2 linked regions of the Kluyveromyces lactis genome follow. The protein of the gene in region 1 interacts with the protein of each later gene in a pairwise test. Links are inferred from orthologs where the notes say so. Each region holds a gene or a part of one and is shown in the gene's direction. Other genes may lie near its edges. The genes, in order: DBP2 and NSR1.

Region 1 (4,365 bases):
TGAAAAAAAAAGAAAAAACTTTTTTTTATACCTTCCTTCTTATAGGTATTTTTTTTGAAAAATGCAATGATGAATGAAGGGAGAAGGAAAACTGATTGATCCTGTCGTGTCTGTACGGTGTTTTGTAAGGGGTTTTCCGTGGAATGATGATATTAGTTCAACAGATTGGAAACAGCACTATACGTGATGATGGAAACTTTAGCTGATAACTGGTTAGGTATACGGACTGTCCTTGTTTTATGATTTGTGAATGATATTTGATACTTGACCCGGATTGTTATGCTAATTCTGTAACGGCCTCCCCTGATGATTTTTGCCAAGGGACTTTGGGTATGTCTCGCTTTGGTCGCATTTTCTCATTTCTTTTAGTTTACTTTGCTTTTTGTTCGGGATCCGTTGTTTATATACTATGGTGTGGTACCCTGAGCGTGGCTATGAGCAACACCTGTGCATTGCGCGGTAACTGATGAAGTGTGTGACACGTGATCTGGTATTTCGCATCAACTTGCTTCTTTCAGTTACCCGGTCAAGACCGGGTAAGCTTTTTGTTTTTTCCTTTAGCATGATTTGGTTTTCCCTCTTCTCTCTATCGAAAAAACCATAATCAATATTGACAAATTGTTCAGCTTAACAGAGTAGGTCATCTCGTCTTATTGACTGTTTGAAAGAAGTACGCACAAACCACCTAAGTGACCATTCATAAGCGCTCTCGGAAATATGGCTGAAGTGGAAAAGCAAGATGTTGATATGCTAGCAGCTGAACAAAATGATCAAGTTGATCAAGTGGAGGAAGAAGTGGACAGTGAAAAGATCAAACTTCTCACAGAAGCTACTTCCGAAGATGGTACTAGTGCTTCTTTCAGAATAACAGATGAAGATCATACCCTTGGTAACACGCTTCGTTATATGATCATGAAAAACCCGGAGGTAGAATTCTGTGGTTACTCTATTCCTCATCCTTCAGAAAACTTTTTGCACATTAGAATTCAAACATACGGCAAAATTACTGCTGTAGAGGCTTTGCACAAGGGTCTTGGAGATCTAATGGACATGTGTGATGCTGTAGAGGACAGATTCACGCAAAGAATCAGGGAAATGTAGAAATTGGTTATCTCCAGCTCCCGCATTAACTATATATAAGAGAATAGAATTAAATACACAACTACATCATCCTTGTATAATACACTATAATATCTATTGATTCTACGTTTATAGCTACTGGTAATCTAGCACATTGGAAGCACCGTTGGATATACCATTGGCAAAAGTAGCTGGAGTGGCTAATGTAATCACGTGACCATTTTGGTAAATTGGTACATTGGTACAAATTTCTTTTTCTCTCTTTTTTGTTTCTTTTTGAAAAATTTGCAAGTTCCCTCATCGCCCTTTGAAACTAATATATAAGCTGCAAACATTATTCAAACCTGTCTCTGATCCTCGTTCATTCAGTATTACAAGTGTGCATTTTTTTTTATCGTTTGGTTCTCAACATCAAGCAACTTATTTCACACATTATACAGAGAACAATGAGTTTCGGCGGTGGAAGAGATCATCAATTTAACAGAAACAACATGGGCAGCACTCATGGTGACTTCCGTGGTAGCAGAGGTTCTGACAGAAACAGCTACAACAGAGGTAATGACTTCCGCGGTGGCCGTAGCTTTGGTCGTGGTCCATCTCGTGATACCAGAGTTGATTTGGTCGCTCCAAACTGGGACGAAGAACTACCAAATTTGCCAGTTTTCGAAAAGAATTTTTACCAAGAACATCCAGATGTTGCTCAAATGAGTGAAAGTGAAGTTATCGAATTTAGAAAGGAAAACGAAATGACCATTTCTGGTCATGACGTTCCAAAACCTATCAGAAGTTTTGATGAAGCTGGTTTCCCATCTTATGTCTTGGATGAAGTTAAGCAAGAAGGTTTCGCCAAACCAACTGGTATTCAATGCCAAGGTTGGCCTATGGCTTTGTCTGGTAGAGATATGATTGGTGTCGCTGCGACCGGTTCCGGTAAGACCTTATCATACTGTTTACCAGGTATCGTTCATATTAATGCTCAACCTTTGCTATCTCCAGGTGATGGTCCAATTGTTTTGGTATTGGCTCCAACCAGAGAATTAGCTGTTCAAATTCAAAAAGAATGTTCCAAATTTGGTGCTTCCTCTAGAATTAGAAACACTTGTGTCTATGGTGGTGTTCCAAAGTCTCAACAAATCAGAGATTTACAGAGAGGTGTAGAAATCCTGATTGCTACTCCAGGTAGATTGATTGACATGTTGGAAATTGGTAAGACAAACTTGAAAAGAGTCACTTACCTTGTCTTGGATGAAGCTGATAGAATGTTGGATATGGGTTTCGAACCTCAAATCAGAAAAATTGTCGATCAAATTAGACCTGATAGACAAACTTTGATGTGGTCCGCTACTTGGCCAAAGGAAGTTAAACAATTGGCAAGTGACTATTTGCATGATCCAATTCAAGTTCAAATTGGTTCTTTGGAATTGTCTGCATCCCACACAATCACTCAGATCGTCGAAGTCCTTACTGATTTCGAAAAGAGAGATAGATTGGCCAAGCATTTGGAAACCGCTTCTCAAGATCAAGACTCCAAGATCATCATTTTTGCTTCCACTAAGAGAACTTGTGATGAGATCACTTCTTATTTGAGAACTGAAGGCTGGCCAGCTTTGGCCATTCACGGTGACAAGGCTCAGAACGAGCGTGATTGGGTTTTGGCTGAGTTTAGGTCCGGTAGATCTCCTATCATGGTAGCAACTGATGTTGCTGCTAGAGGTATTGGTATGTTATTGAAATTTAATTTTTTCAGCATTGGTTTGAACTTTAGTTTACATTGAGACTATCGTCAAACCTTTCTACTAACTATATTAGACAACTGTCGAAGTCATTTCTTTCGAAATGATCACGATATGCCTTTTTATTCGAATGACACGGATGTTTTCGATTCAAAGGTAAAAAATAATGAGCTGGTCTTATTATTTATCAACGAAATCCTATTGGATTTGGTGCGGACAGAGAAAAGGATATGAAAATACTTTTCATTTTGACTTCCACAATTATTGATAAAGATTTAGAGACTTGACCAGTCCGATGTGATTTGATTTATTCAGATCTCTAGAATTAAAAGTAGATTGGCAAGCTTACTAGTATTCATGACAATCAGGTTTTGATTGGACCGTTGGGTTCGAATGTGTGGTGAAGTAGCTTTTACACAACGTGGTTTTCTCGTTGCATTGAAGGCTGTGATGAATTACCGGACATTCGATACTTTTTCTAATCATGTTATCAATTTGACATCTCTTTGATGCAATTTTGCTGAAAGATGTTCTTTATTTTTAACATGATCGTTTGAGTTAGATCAGATTCGCGTATCATTAATTGTGCTTAGTAGTAGATTGGAACATGAACCTAATGAAATAAGGATTCATTCATTTTAACAAAGAGGTTAAAGAATTAAAAAACTGATAAAATAGCGTCACAGGATGGTTTCCCTGTTATGCAAAGTGTGCATTCAGTTTTATTTTTGCGATTCCTCTTAGTAGTTGTTCCATGTATTCTATGAAGTTAGAAAGAAAAGTACATATTTGCGACATAAGCAAGCCTTACATAAATCTTTGTCTTCCACCGACTATTCTGACATGAATAAGCCGCGCGGGCTAATGTTATAATAAATCGTTGATTGCGCCCTCTGGATTTTATATTCTCATTTGGAAGTGCTTCGAACTTGTGCTGTCAATATAGTTACCATTACGATTTACGAACGAACTTACTAACTTCATTCTTATTCAACAGACGTCAAGGGTATTAATTACGTTATCAATTACGATATGCCAGGCAACATCGAAGATTATGTGCATAGAATTGGTAGAACTGGTAGAGCCGGTTCTACTGGTACTGCCATCTCCTTCTTCACTGAAGGCAATAAATCTCTGGGTGCTGCTTTGATCAAGATTATGAGAGAAGCTAAACAAGATATTCCAGAAGAACTAAGAAGATACGACAGGGGTCAATACGGCCAACATCCAAGATATGGTGGCGGCCGTGGTGGTCGTGGCTTTGGTGGTGGCCGTGGTGGCCGTGGCTTTGGTGGCCGTGGTGATGGTGGTTACGGTGGTGGTGGTTACGGTGGTGGCCGTGGCGGCTTCGGTGGAAACAGATCCAGAGACCAAGGCTGGAGACGTTAGTTTGTATAACGTCTTTGCGATTTGTTCTTTAAAAAACATTATATATTTGCTATCTGCTGGTTGCTGGTTGCTGATTATAACAATATTATTCTATATATTTATGTACATTACTATTGTCTAATTGATAAACTTAAGAATTAATAGAGTCTGCCTACCAATCATC
Region 2 (3,299 bases), on another chromosome or scaffold:
AGGTACCACCGAAACAACAGAGATCTATTCCACACCACTTTCAGAAACTACCATCACATCAGAGAACTGTTATGGAACACGCTGTACGACTGTTACAAGTACAGTCACTGTTCCAGTCACTGATCTAACAACTTCAACTTCACCATCAAACTCTTCACCATCATCAGCACCAAATGAAACTACGGAACCTATGGAACCTTCATTGGAATCTTTTACCTCTCAAGCACCAAAAACAGACACAGAACAAAGTTCTTCTACGGTAAGCTTTGGAGCAGTTTCTTCGATTTCAATATTTCAAGGTGTTGCTTCTTCCATAAACGCAAGATCTTCAACAATATTTGGAGTATTTCTGGGATTAATCTCTCTACTCTGAGTTTATTGCGAAGAATAAATACAATTGAGAAATTATTATCGGGCATCAATCTCATCGTATTTAAAGCTCTAACCCAACACTAACCATTTCAAGTTCATTCTTACCTTCAATTTTGACACAAACATTAATTTAAACACTGATATATCTGCATCTCTATTTCTCCTGTTTTACTTAAAGGAAGCAAATCCTTTGACCCTAAATATTTTTTCCCATGTTCTTTCAACACAAGGTGGGTGCACTATCGATTATAAAAGTCTCTCGGTTTTTTTCTATAAGTATATTGGGCAATGAACTAAGAAATTATTGAGGACAATTATAAAGTGTATTTTGTGACGTATACCTTTATGTACTTTTTAATAGATTACAAACTAACATCAATACTCTCTCGTAATTTAAAACCATTTTCACTATAATTTAATAACTATATGTCATGAATATCTGCTTTGTAGGTTTTCTTCATCTATTCATCACTGATTATTCACAGTTGACATTTCATCAACTGCCATCGGATCAGAGGAATACAACCTTGGAGAGAACGCAGTCGCGCGCCAGAAATTAAAAGAACCCATACCTCGCACCAAATTATCACGAATTTTCATGGTAATTTCTTTTCAATAAAAAATGTGATGAAAAGTTTTTTCAGTGAAAAAAACCCAAACAAAAACGGAAAAGAAACGATTTAAGTGAAAAATTATTGTCTCTGTACTCTTCAGCTCATCGCATTGGAAAAAGAAGTTTGTTATAAGAGAAGATAAGTTATACCTGCTCAGTAACACTTCTTCATTAACTAACATTTATTGATATAACGCTATTTTGAAACGCAATTCTTGTAGCATCGAGTCTTGTTGATTATCTATTAACAGAGTACAGAATAATATCATCGCTCAAACATACAATTCACATAATGGGTAAATCAACTGACAAGAAGGTTTCCAAGAAGGTTTCCAAGAAGGACCTAAAGCTAAAAAAGAAGCAAGATGAAAAGAAGGTGAAGGCTGTTGAACCAGAATCTAGCTCCGATTCCAGCTCTGATTCTAGCTCTGATTCTAGCTCTGATTCTAGCTCTGATTCCTCTTCTGATTCCGATTCTTCTTCCTCTTCTGACTCTTCTGACTCTTCTGACGAAGAAGAAGAACCAAAGAAGGAAACTAAGAAGGAAGAATCTTCCTCTGATTCCGAATCCTCTTCTGATTCTGATTCCGAATCTGAAAAGGAAGAAGCTAAGAAAGAAGAATCCTCCGATTCTGACTCTTCTTCCGACTCCTCCTCAGACTCCGACTCTGATTCTGACGAAGAAGAAGAAAAGAAGGAGGAAAAGAAGAAGGAAGAATCTTCCGCTTCTTCATCTGATTCTGATTCTTCATCTGATTCTGACTCTTCATCTGATGACGATGAAGAAGAGGAAAAAAGCTCTAACAAGCGTAAGGCTGATGATGACGAAGAGAAATCTGAAAGCAAAAAGCCAAAGACTGAATTGGCTGGTGAACCAGCTACTATTTTCGTTGGTAGACTATCATGGTCCATTGACGATGAATGGTTAAAGACCGAATTTGAACCAATCGGTGGTGTCATTAGTGCCAGAGTTATGTACGAAAGAGGTACTGACAGATCCCGTGGTTATGGTTATGTCGATTTTGAAGACAAATCCTACGCTGAAAAAGCTATCAAGGAAATGCACGGTAAGGAAATTGACGGAAGACCAATCAACTGTGATATGTCTACCTCGAAGCCAGCTGGTGCTCCAAGAGACGACAGAGCAAAGAAGTTCGGCGACGTTCCATCTGAACCATCTGACACTTTGTTCTTGGGTAATTTGTCTTTCGAAGCTGACAGAGACAACTTGTACGAGATCTTTGGTAAATATGGTGAAATTGTTTCTGTTCGTATCCCAACTCACCCAGAAACTGAACAACCAAAGGGTTTCGGTTACGTTCAATACGGTAGTATTGAAGATGCCACTAAAGCCTTTGAAGGTCTACAAGGTGAATACATTAATAACAGACCAGTCAGATTAGACTACTCCATTCCAAAGCAAAACTTCGGCAACAACCAACGTGGTGGTTTTAACAGAGGTGGTTCTGACAGAGGTGGAAGAGGCGGTAGAGGCGGCAGCAGAGGCGGTAGAGGTGGCTTCGGTGGTAACAGAGGAGGTAGAGAATTCAGTTCCGGTTCTAACGCTTCTCCTCTAGGAGCTACCAGACAAACTGCTTCCTTCCAAGGTACCAAAAAGACCTTCGATTGAATTTTTGAATACTTAATACACAAGAGTTAAACAAAGTTCATTCCTCAAAGTCGAAAACACTTTTCATTATCATCCTAACATGCTCTTGGGAATAAAGAAGATCATTTCTCATCCATTGAAACAATAGAGTGTCAAAAAATAAAAATAAAAAAAAATTAAATCACAAGAATAACCATTCGTCATCTTATTTGTATCTATAGATCAACAACTGATTCATTGTAAACTTCACTGAATCGCATTCATCTTCTATTTTCTTATTTTATTTTCTTTAAATCATTTGTATATGTGTGTATAGTAGCTTTTAATATTTTTTGAACTAGAAGTCTGCGAAGAAGGTCTATGGAAAAGAGTCTCGAATCTGTGCATTTTGTAAAATTAAGCTTCATCTTTGAATCTTGTTTTAAAGGTGTAGAAAAAAGAGAAGACAAGTTTCAAGACAATTGACTGCATTACAGAATCCCTTAATACACTCGTATGACAGTCGTAACCCACCTCAAAAGATATGGACAATTTGAGAGCCACACATACACGCACACACAAACTGAAAAGAAGAATTTTAGCTACGAATATTGTGGAGGTGTATCCAAAGGTATGTAATAATCGATATTTATGCCGCAATTCAATGAGATTGCTAGGTTACATAAAATCGGTGTCATTATCTAGTGAATTATACTACAAACTGAA

The links.
Region 2: the proteins of DBP2 (region 1) and NSR1 interact in a protein complementation assay, tested with the Saccharomyces cerevisiae proteins (2 studies listed by BioGRID). The link is inferred for Kluyveromyces lactis from reciprocal best matches to the Saccharomyces cerevisiae genes DBP2 and NSR1.

The regions. Positions count from the first base shown.
Region 1 is NC_006042.1:2,215,291-2,219,655, reverse strand, and holds DBP2 (DEAD-box ATP-dependent RNA helicase DBP2), read left to right. Parts: upstream 1-1,526; coding exon 1,527-2,799; intron 2,800-3,810; coding exon 3,811-4,202; downstream 4,203-4,365. Other genes in the region: DNA-directed RNA polymerase core subunit RPC19, read left to right, coding at 718-1,101; COPI-interacting protein CEX1, read right to left, coding at 4,354-4,365. UniProt on the Saccharomyces cerevisiae protein: ATP-dependent RNA helicase involved nonsense-mediated mRNA decay and ribosome biogenesis through rRNA processing. Associates directly with chromatin, correlating with transcriptional activity.
Region 2 is NC_006039.1:990,148-993,446, reverse strand, and holds NSR1 (Nsr1p), read left to right. Parts: upstream 1-1,277; coding exon 1,278-2,615; downstream 2,616-3,299. Other genes in the region: KLLA0_C11517g (gag-pol fusion protein), read left to right, coding at 1-373. UniProt on the Saccharomyces cerevisiae protein: Involved in pre-rRNA processing. Specifically binds nuclear localization sequences. Candidate for a receptor at the nucleus that may be involved in both RNA and protein transport. Binds telomeric sequences of the type (TG[1-3])n in vitro.